2 linked regions of the Lepisosteus oculatus genome follow. The protein of the gene in region 1 interacts with the protein of each later gene in a pairwise test. Links are inferred from orthologs where the notes say so. Each region holds a gene or a part of one and is shown on either strand. Other genes may lie near its edges.

Region 1 (11,991 bases):
AGTCTTTAGTACCGGTACAACAAAATGTTAGTACGGCACTCTCACTTTATGAAGGCAAATGGCACAGATGCAGTTATTGGTAAGTACGTCTGTCAAACTGAAGCGAACAGAAACAGAGGGCAAATAGCAAAACCACTACCAGAATTACTGCAAACTTATAACGAGTCTCCAGAAAAGCAGTAACATTGCAGTTTATAGCTGTTTCCATCAGCAAAATCAGCCCTGTTGAAATTCTGTGCACATATTCTTATGGATGATGGGGCTGGAGGGGAATTTATGCCGGTTTTCCTTGGAGATACAGATTTATTTGTGATGTGATGTGGAATATATTTTAACATGCCGACAGTAAAATAAACCATAAACATCAATGCAAACATTGCTGGCAGCAGACTTGTTCCGTACAGAACACGATTGTGCTCCTTTCAATATGAGAAAGGTTATGGTTCACAAAAGAAAGAAAACTTTGCCAGAACAACGTACAAGGTACATCAAAACACTTAAATTTGTTTTATCTCTGGATATAAAAGGGTAGAGATTAAAAAAAAAAACACTAAAGCAAAGAGCCTCTAATACCTTCCTCTTTTTATGTGTGCCTAATTTCTACAGCAATACATCACTTACATCTGTGCCAGCACAACAAGGCAATTGTCAATTAATATTAATTACACTACTGAAAAAAGTTCAACACAGAAAAAATGCATTGATTGTTCCCAAAAAACAGAATAATCTGAGCCTTTCTTTGGTTCCATCTCAGCACATGTAATAGAAAGATTTGGAACTACTCCAATCTACAATGGATTTTCTGTAGAATTTACCTTGTCGTCACTTGTAGTAGATTCTGGGTGAGGCAAAGGACTGTCTTGGTGAGTGGTTTCCACAGCTGATGGCTCTTCAGTTTTATTTCTTACAATGGGAGTTGCGAGTGGAGACAAATCTAAGGGTAGCTGAAATATGGAGGCATCGTGAACCGACAAAAACAATCTTAAAAAGTAAACGAGAAACCAAAAAAAAAACTTTAGTGGCAACAGTCTCAACAATTCCTAGGTGGCAAATTTCTATTAATAACAGTATTGTTTAAGAACAGTATGGCAACTAATTTTGCACTAGTCCTTCAAAATAATGTAAAAAATAAATTACATTTTATGTTTGTTTGTGCACGTGGAAACTAAATGGACCTGCATTCTAAACAGAGAACAGGAGGCACCTCTTTACCCCAAGTGTTGTGGGAGTATGGAACAAGCCGACCAGACATGTTGTTGAAGCCGATACCCTGGCTTCTTTCAAGAAACGACTGGATTTGATCATTCAATCAATTAGCTACTAAATACCAAATGGACTAGAGGTGCCAAATGACTTCCTCTCGATTGTAACCATTCTTAGCATCTTAATAAACGTTACCTTTTTGATGTCTTCTTCTGTTGCTTTTTTGAAGTCATTTTCAAAGGGACTGGCCAATTCATTAAATAGTCCCACTTCTTCACAATTCTTCAAAAAACGGGTTGGTGTTGGAGTTTGGTCTGAAACAATATATAACAAAAGTGTCTTTCAGTTGATTCAACAACAGCTACCTATTAATGAGAAAGATTTACAATGTGAGCTCTTTTTATCAGTTGAGGAACAATAACAAAATGCAAATCTATATTATTTTAGGTGGGTAGCTGCGTCAGCATGCGTAGCCTGCAAAGGAACAAGTAATGGGTTTATTCCATGCTGAAAAAAAGAAGAAAGAGAACACAACGTTTCGGCTGTGGAGCCTTCTTCAGGTGTCAGGTAATATATTATTTTATGTTGAATAGCACAAATACACACACAAATCACAACTTAAAAGTTATGGCTTTGCTGCCTATGTTCTCCCATATTGAAAATATAAAATAGCAAAAGATGGTGATAACTTATAGGTAAGACCAAATGATGCACTATGAAATGCATTACAGCATAGCCAACTGTAGGTTTTCAATGGCACTTTTCCTACTATTTAGATATATTTAAAATTATATAATGGGCTTTTCTAGAATAAATTTACAACAACCATATATCTCCACAATGTCTGGAACTGTTATGAGTCAGGCTGGGGTTTTAAGATTTCCTTTCCACTGAAAGAAATGAACACGAACGATTTGATTACACGATTGCCAAGACAAATTCCATTGCAGTCTAACTGCAAGGCATGACAGACAAGATACTCCAAACAGCCACTTCTATGACTGACTGATCACACCGTATCAACAGCTGATGAGTATTTCCAACGTGGCCAGAAGACAGGCTGAGAGCACATTTTTCATAACTCTCAAAACAGAAACAGCCCCACTATATTTGTCAGTGAAAAAAAACTAACTTTCATCGGTCTCACTCTGCTGCAGTCAGTAAATACGTCAAAGTCACCCTTTATCTTCTGGTATCTAATAAAAGCTCAGCAATTTGCAGTTTTTCTCCTTCAGCTTTTAAATGTTGGTTTTAGGTATATGTGCAACACAAAAAGGAAGACAACGCATGATTACTCTATTAATTGTTCCTCTATTGATAGATCAATGAAGTTCAACATGTATCTCTTCCGTTACGTCAATACAAGCAAATTCTATTGATAACATTTTTCATACCTGAATTGACATTTTTGTCAATTTCCTACACTTTAGATTCTCTTTCCCTTGGTAAATACTCCCCACTTCCTGGGATCTGCAGTTTGATACTCACCAGCAACGATGACACTGTCATTACGCGCTGGACCAAACTTTAGTGTCATCTCATGTTTGTGTTTGTGGACAGCCAAATGGTCTTCATTAGTAAAACGCTACAAAAAATACAACATTACATTAAAAAAGGTATTTAGGATAATGAATCTCTAAATGATTCAGCCAACAATTTCATGAACTGAAATATTTAGGCGGGTTGTGTAATTTCTAATTCCTGGTTTTGCAATGTTACTGTCTTAAGGTTAAGTAAAACAGGCAACCAATAAAATATTATATCCAACTTTTATTTTTAAAAAGAGTTTCAGAACTGCCACCCATACATACCTGACCGCATCCAGGAGCAGTGCATACAAAGGGTTTGTCATCACTCATATTCAGTAGATACTTTTATCTCCTAGATGAGAAAGATACCACACTTTCAAGACCTACTGTCACGCGTAATCACATCATGGACCACTGCAAAAGGCGACAAACCATTTCTTAAATAACGTTTAGTCTCGATTTCAACACAAGCATGCAAGAAAAAAAAACCACAATGAAAATATGACTACGTATTGAAAACGTCTGTAAACTTTAAGCCCGGGAGATAACACAGAACACATTACAAATACTTCAGGTGACAAATCGTTGGCGATTCTAGGAAAGTGTTTTCTGCTTTCCTCCTGAAGTACTCACACACACAGCTCAGCATTCTGGAGTGACTGACACGCCAACAAGCCTTGTGCATCATAGAAAAGGTCTCTAGCTCATTGGACAAATAAGCATAAAACTCGTTTTAAAACTAACATAAACATGCATGGAAGCGTTATACAGCTGGCTTGGTTGGTCTCTCGTTTATTTTCAAATTTAACCGTGCCGAGCATCCTCTTCAGTTGCATTAAAAATTAACGCCGGTCGAACACAAGGTATTGATATCCTTTCTGTCAAGTAATCGACTCCCATTCAGTGTTAGTGTCGTGTGAGGTACTCTTAAATAACTTAATCGTAGTATTTCTCAGGGCTAACCTTCTCTAAGTAAAGTGACAGTGATGTTCTTCGGCGAACAGGGAACAAAAAGAACAACTCTGGATTGCTGTGTTGTAAAACAGCTTCTTTTTTTTTACAATACCTGCATGTAAAAGATGCTACCTGTGCCCTACCATAACAGCAGAAGTTCTAGATATTCTATACAGAGGACTTAGATGTGTAAACAATAATGCGGAGGCTGCATTACGAAGACTGCAAAAATGCACATATACACACTATGTTAATGAATTAAAATCACATTTAGGGTGCCTGGCGAACATTACTGTCAAGATGCGGTTTCTTGTTTACAGTCCATCATCATTATACCATCCCAGTCTCTTGTCTTGGGTTGGGTATACCCCCGTCGCCATATTATTATTATTACTACTGTCACTGCAGTATAAAAGCATTCATCGCCCGTTGACAAAATAAGTAGAGACTGCTACTCTAAACTGCTTTCCAGCAGCAGGCTACCTTAACCGGTGTGGCAGTCGTTGTTTACCACGGCTGTCACGGTTTATACGGCCTGTTTACACACTTACCCACGGGCTCAACCTTTCTCACGGCCAAATCCCACGGGCTGCCGCCAGATCTCGCGACCGCTGCTCCAGCGCGGACACTTCCGCAAGCGTCACGAACGTGACGTGGCGTGCGCAGAACGGGCTGAGTGGTCGTACACGCGTGCTTTAAGGGCATTTTGATTCGAGAGGGTGGGGCAGAGGGTTGACTAGCTTTGATTCTTCTTTGTGCCGGTTAAATAAGACAAACTTTAAATTTTCACCTCGTTCTTTACACGGAATTGGAAAAGAAAAACTGAAGTTACATATAGAAAGAACACTGCTTCGTCTCTTAATATGCATTTCCAGTGTTAACATTTTGGATATTCATCGTTGTGAATGTATTTAGTATTAAATATGAATGAGACAAAACTACTTTTTACATTTACATATTTTAAACATGTTGGTGTACACAATACGTGACATAAAGGCTTTTACTTTCAGGTGAGTCCTCAATGATTTAATATAGACACGCATACTTTGCTAACGAGATGAAAACATACTCCAGTTTTATTTTTTGCAGGAGAAAAAACATTTTACTCAAATGAGGCCAACATGTGCCACGTGTTTTCAGCTTCTAGTACTGATGTCAAAAACGTTCCATCCAAAATCCGAAGCTTCCAGCTTCTTTCAGGTACAGGTAGGAGACTAACCAGCCAGCAGCACACAAACCATCACCCATTGTTCTTCAGTGTGTGCTTGGCAACCTGTACTTTAAAAAAGGAACAGAACACTTTTTTTCAGGGGTTAACCGACTCAAAATCTGGAAGACATCAGTCAAGAGTGCCAGTTTCTTTAACTTGGACTGCACATGTCAGAGTTTCCTCCATGTCAGACACTCTTCCAATATTCACCAATGAAATCCATTTTAGTCTTAAATACCCTAGAGGAGGGAAGAGCCATAGGATCATCTAACTTTTCTTCCACCTCTGGTTTAAATTACTTTGTGTAAATCTGTCCAAGAACAGAAAATTTATAAGGACTTAACGTGTTGCTAACTGAAAAGCACCTTTTAATTCTACAGGAATTCCTCAAAAGATTGGATTTGCCCATACCTGCCTTATAACAAAGACAATGTTGCTATAAAAATACTCTGATATAATATACTGCAACGGTGTTCAAAGACGATGCTTTCCGATTTTAATCCTCACATTGCATGTTTTCCATAAAATAGCATGTATCTACCTGAAGGATGCTATGCAGATCATATGCTTCAAGAACATTGAATGAATACACAATACTGTCTATAATTCTAATGTAAAATTTAGTCTTCACTGTAGGCCATTAGTATTTCAGGTGGGTAGCTGCGTCAGCATGCGTAGGCTGCAAAGGAACAAGTAATAGGTTTATTCCATGCTGAAAAAAAGAAGAAAGAGAACAACGTTTCGGCCGTGGAGCCTTCTTCACACCTGAAGAAGGCTCCACGGCCGAAACGTTGTGTTCTCTTTCTTCTTTTTTTCAGCATGGAATAAACCTATTACTTGTTCAGTAATATTTCAGTCAAGCTTTTCCCCTCATTGCACACGTACGACACATAATAATGTAAGTTCTTAATGAAAAGTATTCCCATATCATCACATTAATGCTGAACAAATGTTCCTAAAAGCTTTGAGTAATTTCGAAAAGCAGTGTATAATTTAATCATATCCACTTTGTAATGGTATTGAGATTTTCGGCTGTGAATTTGTGACGGCTCAACACTATCCTGATTATACTGAGAAGCAGCATCCAACTTACATTCATACTCATTTATCCAGCTAGAATTTTACCGGAGCAATCTAAAGTGCTTTGCGCAAGGATACAGCAGCTTCCACTGGGTATTTAAACCAGTAACCTAATAGTTCAAGTTCAGAACCTTAATCCCTGCATTATGCTTTTTCAAATAATTAAAGCAGTGACCACACTTTGAGGTGCAACACAACTAGGCCTATTCTTGCTTCTAGTTACAGATGAGAAGAGACCATTTTTCACAATTCTTACCCATTTGATTTCTAACTGATCCAATGACTATTTAACCAGGTAAAGAAGCTGGGAGACCTAATCATCATGCTACTGCAGTTAAACCACTTTAATTCATATAGACTCATAGATGTGATCTGTACGGAAAGTGGGACATCTGCAGATCATGAACCTTGGACCAGTTTCTGCATGACCTTTTCCAATATTACCTGTTAAAAATGGGAAATGTCACTTCAAAAAAGGGAGAAATATGAATACAATCAAAGTGTGTAATATGAAAAAAAACTAAAAATGTGTTTAATAATAATTGCTTACACTTATATAGCGCTTATTCTGGACACCCCACTCAAAGCGCTTTACAGGTAATGGGGACTCCCCTCCACCACCACCAATGCGATGGCAGCCATAGTGCGCCAGAACGCTCACCACACATCAGCTATTAGTGGGGAGGAGAGCAGAGTAATGTAGCTAATTCATAGAGTTTAGAGAGTTTAAGGATTCAGAGATTCCCATTGTAAAACGCATCTGCTTTTTTGCACGTTTGTAAAGACAAAGTAGTTTAATTACCTCAAACAGAGCTGGAAACACGTCATCTGGCTCCAAATTTGTAATTCCAATAAAATGAAACCTGCCATTTTGATCCCAAATTTTGCACTGATATTTTTATTCATCTAAGTGACAAAGCACTTTTTCTTGCTTAATGCTATTGCAAAAAAAGTCTACATGATACAAAGGGTGCTTTTAAACTTTATCCTTCAATTGAGTGTATTAAGTGTTCAATAAGAAACATCTTTTGCTTTCAATGTACTGAAATGCACAAATATTTTGATAACGAGATTTTAAAACAAACCTTGATTCCCAGAACACAAAACGGAACTGTGATTTGAGACTTTAAAAAGCCAATACGTGTATTTTAATTCTGTCATTGGTTACATTCTTACAATGTTTTTATTTTTGTAGTTTGACAGTGTTCCAACAAAATCCTGAAAAATGTACACTTTCATGACACCAACACAGAACAGTTTTAGTAACCACTGTAAAACACGTAGTTACATCTAATGTAGAATTAACATCCGAAGCAGTTTTTTTTTACATGGCAAACAAGATCAAGAAAGCAACCATCAAACAGAACAGACCCATGGCTTCAGAGAGGGCAAATCCCAGAATAGCATAGGAGAACAACTGTTGCTTTAGGGAAGGATTCCTGCAGGGGCAAAGAAATGAAAGACTGCAATTAGTCTTCTGTAAAAACAAGTGCTACAGATTACAGTTGTTCAGTACCAATTTAACATGAATTTACAGTGAACCGACCTACCTAATTAACACTTTCTTACCTTTCTTATTCCCCAGTGGATAAAGAAGGACTTCGGAATGAGTTTAACACAAAAATCTTAAGTGTGAAATCACAAAAAAAATCATTGTTTTGCAATGGATGAAACTTTTTCCAAAAAAAAATTGTAGCTAGAAAAAGCAGTTCTGTGAACTCTCAGAAACACTCAATTCTGAACACACCTACTTGCGTCCCTGATGAAAATCTTAACAGATCTACAGATGAATCCAAACTGTATGACCATCTGAGGCTACACTGACGCTGCCTACCTCTTGTAAGAGCACCTCTGCCCTGTGCTCCAAAATGACGATGTTTCTCACCTGGCATAGCCGATGATAAGACTGCCAAACACTGTCCCGATTCCGGCACCAGATCCAGCCACTCCTACTGTGGCGGCACCAGCACCAATGAACTTGGCAGCTGTGTCAATGTCCCTGCTGACGGCACTGGTCTGGAACCCCCTGAGCGCCAAGACAGAGTTCTGTGGCCCGCTCACAGCTGCAGCCTTGCCCTGGAAAAGTTTTAATTCTTTGTAGAAAAAGTAGAAGGGAAAGAAAAACACTTCTATCTGGATGCAGCTTATTTTAATCATTTGGGAAAGTACTTTAGGAATGTAACAGGAGGCCACTGGGCCCATAATGTCTGTTTGGTAATTTCCTCATTGATCCAAGGATCTCCTCCAGCTGTTTTGTGAAGGAAGCCAGAGTACCGGCATCAGCCGGGTAACTTGTTCCACCCTCCCACAACTCTTTGGGTAAAGAGTCACCTCTGTTCTCACTTTTAAAGGTCACAGCACAGACGTTCAGAGGAATTTTCATGTTAAAGCACATCGGCCACTAAGGAATGTAGGTCTGCACACTAAACAAAATCCAATAAATGGAATTTGATCCCAATATTCTACCAATCTGAAATGACATTTTCAAGGACTGAAGCACTACTCTTTAGACTCACCTCTCCTGTTCTGACCTCTGGCCGGGACAGCACTGATGCAGAGAGAGGTCTGCACAGAGCCCGAGATCCAGCACGGACCTGCACCCAAAACAAACCCCACATCAACCAGGGAACACACCTCATCAGCCCACACCTTAAGGGAAACTGACTTCATTTACATCATCTTACTTCACTGTAGCTATTTAAGATAAAACAAAATGCACCTATAGAAAACATACAGTTAAGGGCAAGTATTAGCATGATCATAAAATAATGTGCCCATGCAAAGTCCACCACATACCCAAAACGTGGATTATGGGAGACGAACAACAATTTGTAAATAATTTCTGAGCTTCACTGAGAAGAAAGGAAGAGATACAGCGTCAATATATTGAGCTCTCTGAAATTATTAAACGTCTGTGGCGTTTAAATCTTGAACAATAATCAATTTCAATTCCAGGTAGATATTTAGTTTTTCAGTACCAAAGGTAATTCCAGTACTTTAATCATGCTTGTTGTGCTACGTTTCGGCCTCCTTTACTTGTGTCCTGAGTTAGAGGACATATCTCAGCTGCAGAGCAAGGCAGTAAGGCCCAAGCCCTGAGCACAGCCTAAGTCATTCAAAAAATAAATCGCTGTCATTTTCAAACTAAAAATTCCAAATGCACCATTATTTACTTGGTTTACCCCTTACCGAGGTTTGAATTATACTGTGCAATTAGAAAAATAGCACGACTTTGACTAAAAAGGCCGGATTTTTTCAGCTTTTATATCTAGATATGAGTTCACTTTAATATTGATAACTGCCCTTTTGTAACCATTGAACAGTAAGTCGTTTGTATTTATTTTTTTCCCCATTTCATTCTAAAAACTGAAGGGGCCTGTGTGAACAGAAAACGTTTAGAAAAAAAAATAGGAAAAACTCAAGTTCAAGACTAGGCCCGCAATGAAATAAGAATAAAAGACCAGAAAATGTGGTTTTTGAAAATCAGATGTGGTACAGAAACTCACCAGAGCAGGCGTGGAAACGAATTTAGCACAAGCGTACATTCTGTCTGGATTTATTGGTTGCTGAGTTCGGAATTGATCATAAACCCGGGTCTGTCTCTGTGAAGAACAAGGGAGAGTTAAGGTCAATGGAAATTCTGCTCCTAAAGTCTGCAACAGCAACACCGAAACGAAGATCACGCATGCACAGATAATGAAAACTCATGAAACCCAGAACCACTACTTAATTACAAAGATCCCCAGGACAGGATGAGATGGGATTGTAAATGTTCTATTCCTTCGCCTTTTTCTTGCTTCCCCTTCACTTACCGGCTACAGAGGTCGAACCGATTAGAAACCACTGCGCATGCGTCTGCTTCTTTCCCTGCAAACTCCCGGATGGCGGCTGTCAAGGTCACTTCGCTGCAACTTTATTGAAAAACAGAAGAACTGACAAGTTACTGTTGCACTTGATTGGAACCAGCCGAGGGTTACAGTACGTTGCGTTTGTGAAAATAAACGTCCGCAATGACTACAGAGGTAAACCCAAAATCAAAAGTAATTAATCGAAGACGTGCAATTTTCTTTGGGGATGGAAAACTGCACGGAACTAATTGATTCTGTATAAATCAACGTTTAAACATTTCTTTTTAAATTTAAGGTGTCTATATATATATAACATACTTGTACAGTCCTTAAATTAAAACAGTGACATTCAGAAATAGAAAGACTCCACTACTGTTGAAAGCTGAAATCTATATACTTGGCCTTTGGGCACATTCCCTGTCCTCTCAATGCAGTTTAATTTGCTCTAATATCATTACTAATTAGCCAACAGCCATATCACCCTTCAGCTCTCAACTGGCTACCCCCTGAAGCTAAGTAGGGTTGAGCCTGGTTAGTACCTGGATGAGAGACCTCCTGTGAAGCAATCATTGCTGCTGGAAGAGGTGTTAGTGTTACCATTGGGGGGCGCCCACCCTGCAGTCTTTGTGGGTCCTAATGTCCTAGTATAGTGGTGGGGACACTATACTGTAGTGGGTGCTGTCTTCAGATGAGACATTAAACTGAGGTCCTGACACTCAGTGGTCATTAAAGATCCCCCATATGCAGCACTGTACATATAATGTGAAAAACTGACATGAAAGATGTTACATTTTAAGTCCATTGAACAATAAGTTCTATTTAAATAAGATCATTGATTAAAACTACAAAGGAGGGAATCTTATAAAATACAAGTGATGAGGGATACCATAAAATACCTAGAAAGTGCATGCATACTAAAACAAGACACCTATACAGTTGCGTAATCAACTTGGATTGACAAATAACCGTCATTTCTGGTTCTAGATTAATTTAATTAGTGCAAACATCGTATAGTGTTATACGTCTACCTATCCATTTTCTACCCCCTTCTTCCAGTTCAGGGTCATTAGGGCAAGGCAGGATATACCCTGGATGGGACCCCACTCCATCACATTTGTGGACATACGGTACAGGCACAAACTCACACACCAGGGTCCATTTTTCCAAAGTTCATTTAACTTACCAGTGTGTTTTGATACTGTGGAAGGAAATCCATGCGAACCTGGGAAGAACATACAAACTCCACACATATAGCATCCCAGGAACTGAACCAGGGCCTCAGCGCTATGGGACAGCAATGTTAACCACTGTACCATCATGCCTCCCACTGTGTTCTGTAAAGAGAGCATAATGGTAGAATATTTTTAAACAAAACCTTCTATGAATTGCATTCCACAAGCCTGAATCAGAAGAACCAGTTAGAAAATTGATGGATATACTGTATCACACTATGCTATGTTTGCACTAATTAAATTAATCATGAACCAGAAAAGAAGGTTTCTATTCTATCTAATTGCATCTCTGACATAAAAACTTGGATGACTCAAAATTTCCTTTATCTTAATTGTGACAAGACTGAAGTCATGCTTATTGGCACCCCCCATCAACTTCGTAAAGCCAGTCCTGTAACCCTATCTGTAGATGGTTCTGTACTAGAGCTTCAGTCTAAATTGAAAAACCTTAGGGTGATATTCGATTCTGGCTTAACATTCGACCCACATGTGCAGCATATTGTCAAAACATCTTTTCTTCACCTCAGAACTATCGCTAGACTGTGCCCTATGCTATCACAAACTGTGGCTGAAAAGCTGATCAACACATTTGTGTTCTCTAGAATTGACTACTGTAATGCTCTACTCGCAGGGGTATCTAAATCTACTTTGAACAAACTGGAGTATGTCCAAATTTCAGCAGCCAGAATCCTGACCAGGTCTAGTGCAAGTGATCACATTACTCCTATCCTGGAGTCCTTGCACTGGCTTCCATCGAATTCCATGTGGAGTTTAAAATCCTCATGCTCACCTACAGTATAAGGCTCTCCATGGCTTGGCACCTCAGTACCTGTGTGAACTATTATACTCCCCACCTCGCAACCTTCGCTCTTCTAATTCTGCTCTCCTTACTGTCCCCCAAGCCCCTCTACATTGTATGGGTGACAGGGCCTTCT
Region 2 (11,232 bases), on another chromosome or scaffold:
ACAAATTCCTAATGCAAGACATTGTATATGGCCAATAAAGTTATCTTATCATAGCGAAAGTACAAGGGCAACTGATGACAAAAAAATTTAAATGAAGTAATATACGGTAATACATAAAAGTCACATAAACTAAGATAAAAGAGCTTTAAAGTTGAAAGAAATTCAGAAGAACCTGTAAAACTTTTTAAAAATAATTATATGATTATATTATTGACATTGTTTTCAAAGATAGTTTCTGATGTAATTCGAAATAAGACGTTTACCTATGTTCAGAACAGATTATTGCGTTTACACTAATTTTTTCTTTCTTTGTTTATTTCTTATTAATATGAGTAGTAGTAGAAGGTATTACTTAAATCCAGTAAGTGAAGTGCGGCAAGTGAACAATAAGGAATATATACATTATACAGCCAATTTAGTTAGGCAAAAATGTAATGCTACTCTCCAGACAACTTAAAACAGTCAGTATACCATGTACCAGAGAAATCTGGCATTTGTCAGTTAGAATGTTTAAAAAACATTTAATTGTTAGTTTGTATCTATATCAGATAGACAGGAACTTAACCTGCAGTCTGTTTAATAATAATATCCTTGAAACCTAGATGCAACTAAAGTACAGCAAAATATATTATAGTTCTTACTGTTTTCACATGTATCTATGATTTTCAGAAATTATTCTAAGATATAATTTTTCTCAAACAAGTTTAAGATTATACAATACTTGTATTTTTATATATACTTTTTGTTGTTTATTAGGATATTAAAAAAGACCCAGCTGCCTGAGAGAGAATTTTAATATTTGCAATTCACAGTTAAAGCAATAGTGAGAGTTGCATAGTAAAACGCATGTTTCTGTTGAGTTTCTGTCATGTCAGTTTTTATGCATTTTAAGGAACTAGGAAGGGATTGTGGAGTATCAGCCTCCAGTGGTAGCAGTGTGTCTTTTTTTAAAGTTAACTACATTAACCTCATCAAAGACAGTTCTTTGACTTTCATTCCTCACATACAGTCCCTTTGCTCTATCTGCGAGTTGTCATTTAAAAGAAACAGAATAAGTTTCAGATTTACAGCAGCTATGACTGTGTTTCAATTTTCTTTCTTAATTCCACAGTGTCCCTTGAAGTAACTCATGGTAATTATTACCCAATGTTGTGCAAGCTTTAAACATCAGTTAGTTCATACCTCAGAAATGCAAGATAACCTCTGACAGAATTTCAACCCAAAGCTGCCCACAGAAACATTTTAATTCACAGCTTGATGGAATCTTTCTGGGTCCCTGCTTTGCATTAAGTGTCCCATCCAGCAGTCTATCATGTAGCGTTTTAAAGGTTTGACATAATCCATTGATTGATTAAATAGGATAGATCAATTGCAAAATGTAACATATTAGAATTGATTTAACCTCTCATGCCTTGTTTGTTTAATGACACACTAGACTGGGTGAGGAAACTTTGAGGGTACCAGATCCAGATATTCAAAACCCTCAAAGGCACTGACGAATACAACATGGAGGACTTCCTCAGATTCATCAATAACACATGAACCATAAGACACAAGACACAAGTGGCATTTAGGTTTGAGAAAAGAGGGCACTCCTTAACCAAGGGGTTGAGAGGATATGGAATAAACTACCCAGCTGTGTTGTTGAAGTCGATACCCTGGGTTTGGGGTGGGTTGAATATCCTCCTCTTATTTGCCACCATTCTTATATTCAAATGCACCAGAAATACCCCACAAATGCATTGAAAAGGTATTTTGTAGTGGACTGAGATTTCTAATAAAATTGAAGGTGTTTCTTTATCTCTCAAAAGAAAAAAAAAGACTTTTGATCTCCCATACATTACAAATCTAAATAATTTCAACTCATCAGCTATTATGTGGTTTAAATAATATTTGTCATATTGTTTTGATCTTTTCTGCATTACTGTCATTGTCTGTAAACTTTCCTTTATAAAGTGCTATTTTATTCCCCTGGGCTGTAATTGTTTGAGGGGTTCATCAGTTGAAATTGCAAGTTTGAGAGCAAAGCTGACTTTGTTCTTTATAAAAAGTGTGGAAGACAGTACAAAACGTGTTACACTTGTTACTGTACATCTCTTTCCATTTTGGAAATTAATCAGATTTGTTTTGTAATGCACCTTTCATGACACATCTTATCAGAGCTCTTTAGTATAAAACAACCAAAATGACCTAATATGGGCTGTGAGATCATTCCATAGCCTTGAAGCAGCAGAAGAGAAAGCAAAGCAAACCAAAGTTTGAAGCCTGATTCTGGGAACTGAAAGAAGGCCAGAGTCCAAACAATGCAAATGATGTGTAGGTGTACTGGGAGATAACAGTTCACTGATGTAAACAGGAGTCTATTCAGGCCTTTAAAGGAGGGCACTGATATTTTAAGTTTTCTTCTGAAATGCATTTCATTCTGAAATGCAAGAGCAGACAAGGTAAAATAGGAGAATTTTTTAACTTCTATATTTTAGTTTTGGTTACGTTAGCACTTGAGCTCTGAGGCAACTTAATACATAAATAACCAGCAAGCACTGTGTTACAGTCATCAAGCCCGAAATCAAGAAATACCTACCTGTACACGTATTGGCTTGTTTGCATCAGAGTGAGAAAGACATGAGTAAATTACAAAAATTACAAAGTTACCTTTCATACATTCACACGTTTCAACATTGCAAACAGGAGTTCCAAATGCAAAGCTGATTTTAAAGCTAAACCGAGATTCCTGAGCTGAATGTATGGACTGATTCCAACATCAATGTCAAACTAAAGCTATAGTTACAAATTAATATACTGTACCTGATGTTGTGAAACCTAATGGAAATTCTATTGATGTTATTACACATCATTTATATGGCGCTATTTTTATATGTATGTTTACCAAATGCGCTTTACAGTCGCGTGGGAGAAATGTATGATGTCATCTGTCCAAGAAAAGGCTTGGTAACCTCCTTCCACAAACCCTTCAGTATTCACTTCAGATGAGTTTTAATTTAACTGGTTGCCTAAAAGCAATTTGACCTTTGACTCATTTGTAAGCAAGTGAAATTTTACATATGCACACTGGAGTGCAGTGAGAATGTGAAAATGTTATCAGAATGTTATCAGGTATCATGTTATACCTGTCAACCAGACACAAACGTCCAGATTCAGAGACAGTTTCTTCCCACAAACTCAGATTACTGAACTCTACCCCTACCACTGGCTCACACTGATGTTTTTTTTTCAAGATGTATGTTATTTAACTTGTTGTTGCTGCTGCTGTTCTGTGTCTACAGTACTTTTTTGGTGATTCCTTTAATGTCTTTGTATCGGAGCATACATGCAAATACGCATTTCATTGCACTTCTGCATATGACAGTAAACTGAACTGGAACTGGATAAAACAAAACATGTGTCAAAGGCAAGATAGGTAACACTGAAATTACTGCGCCCAGTATTATTTCGTTATCTAATTGGAAAGATACAAAGGAACATGGTAAGGGAGTAAGCCACTAGCCATGGATAAATGACTTGGTTAAAATTTACATGTGGTCATTACATGATTTCTATAACATTAGCCCAATGACGCCAAAATGAGCATATCAAGTTTGTCACGTTGCTAACTGGGTAGTTATTCCATATTAATTTTCATATTTCATATTACTTTTAAGAAGGAATATGATGCTACAAATTATTTATTCATTTCGCTACTGAAATGTTCCATTTGTACTTTTTTTTGTTCCATTTGTACTCCATTTCAAAAATAAGAAACTTTAAACGTTGCAATATATATATATTTCCAAAGTAAATTCTATATTGAGCAATTTACATTAAAAATCTAAAGTAACGTTCTGCATTTAAACAGATAATTTGAGAAACAAACATAAGACACATGTTTGTATTCCCTTTTGTCCTAATGAGAATTTTTTTAATTTACTTAAAACGTCACTTCGTTTATAAAAAAGTCGTTTAATTATGGAAATGTCTCCCACAATGTTACTGTCCTTTTGGAGATATGCCTCTTTTTTCAGTCCCCTTTATTGATCGTAATGTACATACACCCAGTCACATTGGATAATTTGTTTTGTCGATGCAATTTACGGTAAATCTGTATTACAACTTTAAGAGAGAAAACCATCTCCTGATGTACCAGCAACTGAAGAGGGAGATGGTCCCCTTTTCCGGGAAGTGAAGGAGTCATTTTTTTTTCTTCTGTTTTTGAGCAGTGCTTCAATCAGCTGAGAAATGAGAAAATGACAACTACAGCGAAACCCCTCCTCTACCAATAGATTACATAGGGAACGGGTACTGCAGAAAAGTCAAAATCAATGATGATCATTTGCGCTTTCTGTCTGGGTGACACATCGTGTTCCCGTAAAACCGAAGATTACTCACCCGGCGAAACTGATATAAACATTAGCGGCCTGGGCTCACCGAGCGCCTATTCTCGCAGAGTGACGTCATCTTGGAGGAAGACAGAAAGGGAGCCAGCTGAGCTGTAAATGTTAAACACTCGTTTTACTTGTTTTGAATATATTCACTGAGCTTTTGGACAGTGACAACAGGGAGCGACATTTAAAGCCAGGATATACATTTTAACATGAAACAGTATTGGCTGCTGTAATTACTTTACCCGAAAGGTGTAATACTTTTTATTTCCAGCGATGAGTAGCCTTTGTTGGAAAAAAAAATATGATTTGTTTATTGACTAGACAGAAACTTTTTCGAAATGTAACGCATAACTGCATTTTCAGATTTTCCTGCGATCAAGACCAGCAGAGCTAGCTTTGTCTGCGCAGCTCAAGAACTGTATATGCATTCTGTTGTTTTTGCAAACATTTGCCCATATAAAATTGTTGAGGCTGTTGTACTGAGGGTAGTTTTAACATACGCAGAACCCGAGTTAAATTTAATTTAATTGTGAATCTCTTACATGATGAGTGTGAATCAGACCATCGTCATTTTTTAAATGGGTGTGTGGCCCTTACTCCTTAAAAGCGTAAACAGGATTTCTCGTTTACATTATGAGTGTACACCGGTCCCTAGTATTTACAAAGGGACGGGGCTTTTTTTTTCCATCACATAAATTCCTGTGATGGAAAACAAGCTGGGTCGTTAAATCAGAAATCAGTTTCTTTTTTTATACCAGTCTCCCAGTTCTTTTAATAGTGGGTTCTAATTTCTTAACAGTATTTTGGCAATATGTAAACTTTAAAATAAAGCTAAACTGTAAATCAAAGTAAGAGTCTAGAGCCTTCAGGAACTGTAAAATATTGGTTTTCGATCTCGTAAATTGGGGTTGTACTCCAGACCAAAGCTCTCAATTACTGCCGTGAAAATGAGGAACTACAAAACCGTTCCCCATACCACGTAAATTGTCAATTGACACATGCTTAGTGTGACTTAGTAGAAACTGGGTGTTGAATGGGAATCAGGGCTAAATTTTGTAAAACATTTTCAGTTCGATCATGAACTAGGATTTAACAGGAATGTGTGGATTCCCTTGAATAGAGACATATAGTACAGTTTAAAAAAGACTTTCACAGCAAATTCTTATACTCATTTTGCTTAAAGCATTAATTGTTAAATTAACATGTAAAAACTATGTTTTTTTAAAAGCAATTTTTTCTGTATATTAGCTTAGGTAAGCAACAAAAAATATATATTAATATTAAGCAATAGTATAATTCTAGAACTGTATTATTGAGAAAAATGTAATGCCAGGTGAGTGTATATTGAATTATATCAAAATCACACACGATCTGTTGAGCTGGTATTTTACAAAATGTATAACTATTTCCACTGATACTAAAAAAATAACATGTTCCTTATAACTTTAAAATGCAACTTTTGAAAAGGACTCAATAGAAGATATTGTGTTATTTCTGTATCTATATTAATTGATACCAGGACTGCCTGTAAATATATTATGGTTTTAGTCATGGTCTTTAACATGGGCTATGGTCATCATAGCTGTGGCACAAAATCTTTACCATCACAGTTTTTCCTATGATCCTGAAATCGGCTTGTTTTTAAAGCATATTTACAGAACTCTGTTATACAATAGATAAATAAATAACAATAATTGTTTTGAATTTCAACTTGTAGTTTAGGTTTCTCTTACAACTGAAATAACAGTTCTTTCTTCTTTAAAAGATTAAAAGAGAAAATGGTTTTCTAATTATGACAAAGCAAAATCAGACATTTCTTGAAACTTCAGCACTTGTCATGTCGTCACCCTCCTGTTGTCTTACAGCAGGTATGATGGTTGTGGAAATAATTTGTCAAATGATACTAGTGCTGTGACGTCACTTCCTCGAGATTCAGTTCACTCTACTTTCGTAGACAAAGGAGCAAGACACCTTCCTTTATGTGAACTGTGATAGAAGTGTCCCAAAAATTCCACACAGCTGGGGGCATACTCTATTAAAAGAAACAGGCAAACTCATTTTTAATACAAAAATAACTTCTGTGACTCAGCATAATTTTAACCTTGGTGACCAGATTGTATCATTACATGTAGAATGACTCTGCTTCCTTTAAATAATGGTTGTAGTTTCCTTATTACATTCAAGCATTGCAGAAGAGTAGAAGTCATGGCTATTTTAAAACGAAGTTAAATCGGTTCTGTGTCTTCTGTTCTCAGCTTTGAAAGCGAGTAAGTTGGTGTATATTTGTTTACCAGGCTATGGCCATAGCAACACTCTCCCACTGCCTTCTTGCCAAATCATCTTTCATTTCAGATGTTCAGACTGCTGGGGAATGCACATCCCAGCTTTCCAAACACTCAAAAAGCTCCAATCCTTTTCTTCTTTTCAAGGAATATATGTCTGGTATTGTTTTTGTCTTATTTGTCTGTTTTGGGTTCAGACTAGTTTAACATCCCCTTATGCCTCATCAAATTATGTGAAACAGTAGTCAAATGTTTTTTTTCTTTATGCATCATGTGAAACTAATATTCCTGTTCCAGGCTTATTTTTGGCCACAATAAAACACATATCTTTTGTAAAGAAAAAAGTTTTGTATTTTCATATCCTCATGAGAAAGCTGCATAGGGTCGACTAAACCTTATTCTTACCAGTGTTTCAGTTAAGTTTTTAGTTATATTTTGAAACCATAACCACTTACTATAAGTTATATTAAACAAGTACAGGCCAAATTCACCTGTTGTTATTTGAAATATAATGAATTTCTGGAAGTAATATGTAAGAAAGATTGTGCAAAATATGTGATTTGGTAAATGCAATATTTGTAAATGTTTCTTGGCAGTTGTGTAGCTTATAATTGGGTTGTTTTTCAAAGCACCATTGTTTTAGTTTTATAGAGGGACCTGCAATATGGCAACAGCTCAAACAGTGAAGAATATTTTCACCTGTCAGATTTTGAAAGTCTGCTTGGCTATTAGATTAAATGCCATTGTGTCAGTCCTGAGTCTGGACCAAGGTTCATGAGCTGACCTTTGTCCTTAATCAGAAGTGAAAGTGACGTTGCTCTCAACATTTCATAAGTTGAGTAAGCAAGGCTAAATGACTCAGCAGCTCTTTTACCATTGCTTCCAGCATCTTCTAGACAGACAGAACCACTTGACTTTCTATGCACCGGTGTTTTTTCTAAGTTTGACCCCAGCAGCCACCCACAGTTTTCTTATGGACTTAAACAGAAACAACACCACTTTCTTACTTACACTTTCAAACTGAGAACCTCGTTTCCTGTAAGTATTTATAGTGAAACAGAAAACATCTGTGCAGGGTGTGTGTCATAGTCATCTCAATGCTGTTTTCCCTTGAAAGGTGTACCCAAGCCATTATTATGATGAAAGAGGAAGTGAAGGCCAAGACCATGACCGGGGTTAGAAGTGTGGATTAATGGTAAGGACTCTGGGCCCCTGATGGCACGGCTGTATGGGCAGAATTACCTCCTTTAAATTCTTGGTTGGGATAACTATTGATTTATGATAGTAAGGTCATGTCACGTCATTTGCCAAACCGGTTTATACCTTACAGTGTTGCAGAAAGCAGCGAGCGCAAGTCAGGGTACACCCTTGTCAGGGCGCCAGCCCATCACAGGGCAGGTGCAAGCCATACATGGGGACAATTTGAAGGCCACAGTAAAGGCCAAGGGGGAAAATTTGTCCTGGACACCAGGATAACTCCCTACTCTTATCCAGAAATGCCCAGGGATCTTTAATGACCAATGAGAGTCAGGGCCTCCTTTGTTTAATGTCTCATCCAAAAGACAGCACCCACTACAGCATAGTGTTCCCGCCACTATACCGGGGCATTAGGACCCACACAGACACCCCCTGCTGGCCCCACTGACACCACTTCCAGTGGCAACCATTGCTTCCCAGGAGGTCTCTTATTCAGATACTGGCCAGGCTCAACCCTGCTTAGCTTCAGTGGGTAGCCAGTTGAGAGCTGCAGGGTGATATACTGTACCTGCTGGCACTAACAGTAAGGTGCCTTACCAAAATTGCTACAGAAAACTCAGCTGTAAATTGTCACCACAGTATGCTTGTAAAACTTGGTTAATTGTAACCTCTGGGAATCACTTTAGCCAAATGAATGAAAACAACAACGCACCTAGGACAGAAAGAAGCTAATGAATGGACTGTATAACACTAATGTTCAGGAACTAACTTTAAATTAGTTATAATAACAAATTTATATTTTATTAGCTATAAATAAATTGCAACTTTAGTTGCAATGTTAATTGTGTTAAAGCCCACTCTTCACAGATGAGTAATATTCTGTGGAAGCCTCTTAATGATTAACCGTATCAAAACTGAGCTTTAATTGAAGATGATTCAACTCTTTTAAATGAAAATTAAATTAAACATTAAATCAGCACAACTATTAAAACTAAATTATTATATAGAGGCTACCGTGATATCATTTAGTCCTGTGAAATATTTGGTCATCATAATAGAAGATGGAGAAGAAATAAGCCAGCAAATTTTGTTTTATGAGACACAGAAAAGAAAGATATTGCTCTACCATTTCCTAAATGTTTTAAAATGTAATTTCCCAGCACTGACAGCAATTAACACATTATGCTTTACTGTTAATATAAAGAGTAACGATAGGGAGGAGGCTATCTGGTCTGCCATAATTGCCTAGTACTTCATACTGTAGCTTATTGGCCCAGGTTTGTCAGTCTCTTACCAATAAAAGTACTGAATATTCATAGTTCTGAGCTATACTCTACTTATTGCAGAATTACATTACAGTAATGAAGCGAGTCATGTGTTTTTTTTTTGTTAACATGCTGTTTCCAATTGGTGATATAAAATGGATATGGAATACGGGCTATGATGATACCATTGATGCATGATGAGTCGTAGTCCAATAGGAAACCAAAGGTAAAGTGACATCACCTCCCTATTCCATGGTCTGACTGAAGGCTTCCCGCTTCACTTTAATAATAAATGAGAAGCCTGACTGCATGTAAGTGCCTCATCAGCGGTCCAGGCTTCTACATCACTGGTTGTGCCAGTGCTACAGTGAGCAGTAACACAGCACTGTTTCTCAGCCTCCCAGGGGTGTGCCTGCTCCCATGTACTGTATTTTGGAAAGACAAGCCACAGCGTATTCTTATTTTACAGTCCTTAATAAATTTAGCATAACTCACTAAACTACTCAGATAACCATCTTTTGTTCAGGTCATTTTTTAGGCTATTATTACTGCATAGAAAAGGTAGATATTTATAGAGTATGCCAGTAGTTCTTCACAGTACTGAATACTTAATGTATTACTTAGCAAGTATCTGTTTTTGATACTGTTTTTATATATCATACTGTTTTGATATATAAAAAGGGAGAATTTCTCTCTCAGTAAGGAGACTTTCTGTTTTGTCTTTAATGAAGGTTTAATAGTTCACATTTCCCTACCCCAAAAAGGTAAGCAACTTCTCTATGGCCTCAGGCAAAGACACAGCAAGTACATACAGTAATAGCATGGTTTATATATTACCTTAAATCATCCGGACTACCAGTAAAAGTATCAGGCTGCATGTTACTTAAAAAGGTGTTACTTAAAATGGCGTAATAGTCATTAGGTTTGCTGCCTTGCAGTGTTGGGGCTCTGGGTTCAATTTCAGGCCTGGGTGCTATCTGCATGGAGATTTTATGATTGTATTTACATGGGTTTTTGCCAGGTGCTCTGGTTTCCTCCCATAGTCCAAAGACACAAAGACATACTGGTAGATCACTTGGCTTCTGGGAAACGTGGCCCTGGTGTGAGTGTCAGTGGTTCTGTTTGTGTGTCTGCCCTGCAATGGAGTGTCCAGGGTAAATCTTGCCTTGATCCTGTTGCTTTATTAATTAATTATAAATATTGATCTATTTAATGTTCTTACAAAGCTATTTGGGATTGTTCCCATTTTTATATAGCTAGAAGTTTTAATAAGCAAAATTCAACTGCAGTATTTTGCTTTAGGACACTCCACCCAGGATTTGAACCCACAACCAACGCATTTTAGGGGCAGAGCCCTAACTACTAATCCATATACATCACATTTTAACCCTACCAGTATATTTTATATGAATCATTAATATGAAAGTTGTTTTGAACAGCTTTCACATTAAAGTGAGATGCATTTTAGCTTATTAGTGTGACTCATGAAGAAACCACAGAGGACTGGCATTGTAACCAGGAAGGGTGGCAAACTATTAACCATTACTCACAAAGAAAGGTCAACAGCTCGGCACGTGATATCCATGATCTTTACCATCATTGTTATATAACTATATAAAGAGTAATGTAGCTTACAAAAGATATGCAGCTAAATAAATTAAAACAATCTCCTTGTAAACTGTATTGCATATGATCATCTTTAAATGTCATATACTGTTAAAGAAACACAACAGTGTTTCTGTTTGCTCCACGTGGGACAATTCAAGCAGAATGAGAGATCTATCGATATGAAGCAGTTCAGAGCATAGACCAGAAATGACCCGATAAAATCAACGTCAAAATGTCTGTGTTGTGAGTAATATTCCTATTACTCACAAAACCATGTAAAAAAAAGCTCAAAGAAAATCACCTTTTATATAAAATACTCCGCGGTACTGCCTTTTTAGTTTCTTGATTTGATGTTTTTCAACTGTTTGCAAAAGTCATTCTCTGCCAAGGTGTCTCAATGTTACAGATAAACAGCAGTTTCGACCAAGATCACAGGACTCACTGTGGTCATGTGACGGGGATTTCCTGTGTACCGAATAACACCAGCATGCTGTCTGGAGA

What was found.
Region 2: the proteins of atf2 (region 1) and atf3 interact in binary tests that used the Homo sapiens proteins (3 or more experiments, as listed by UniProt). The link is inferred for Lepisosteus oculatus from reciprocal best matches to the Homo sapiens genes ATF2 and ATF3.

The regions. Positions count from the first base shown.
Region 1 is NC_090707.1:17,191,317-17,203,307, forward strand, and holds the start of atf2 (cyclic AMP-dependent transcription factor ATF-2), read right to left. Parts: upstream 4,340-11,991; 5' UTR 4,238-4,339; intron 4,231-4,237; exon of another isoform or gene 4,170-4,230; intron 4,164-4,169; exon of another isoform or gene 3,955-4,163; intron 3,147-3,954; exon of another isoform or gene 3,085-3,146; 5' UTR 3,063-3,084; coding exon 3,015-3,062; intron 2,789-3,014; coding exon 2,692-2,788; intron 1,518-2,691; coding exon 1,399-1,517; intron 945-1,398; coding exon 816-944; intron 1-815. Other genes in the region: atp5mc3a (ATP synthase membrane subunit c locus 3a), read right to left, coding at 7,301-7,415, 7,862-8,052, 8,493-8,570, 9,483-9,521. UniProt on the Homo sapiens protein: Transcriptional activator which regulates the transcription of various genes, including those involved in anti-apoptosis, cell growth, and DNA damage response.
Region 2 is NC_090697.1:18,859,755-18,870,986, forward strand, and holds the start of atf3 (cyclic AMP-dependent transcription factor ATF-3), read right to left. Parts: upstream 4,551-11,232; 5' UTR 4,384-4,550; intron 1-4,383.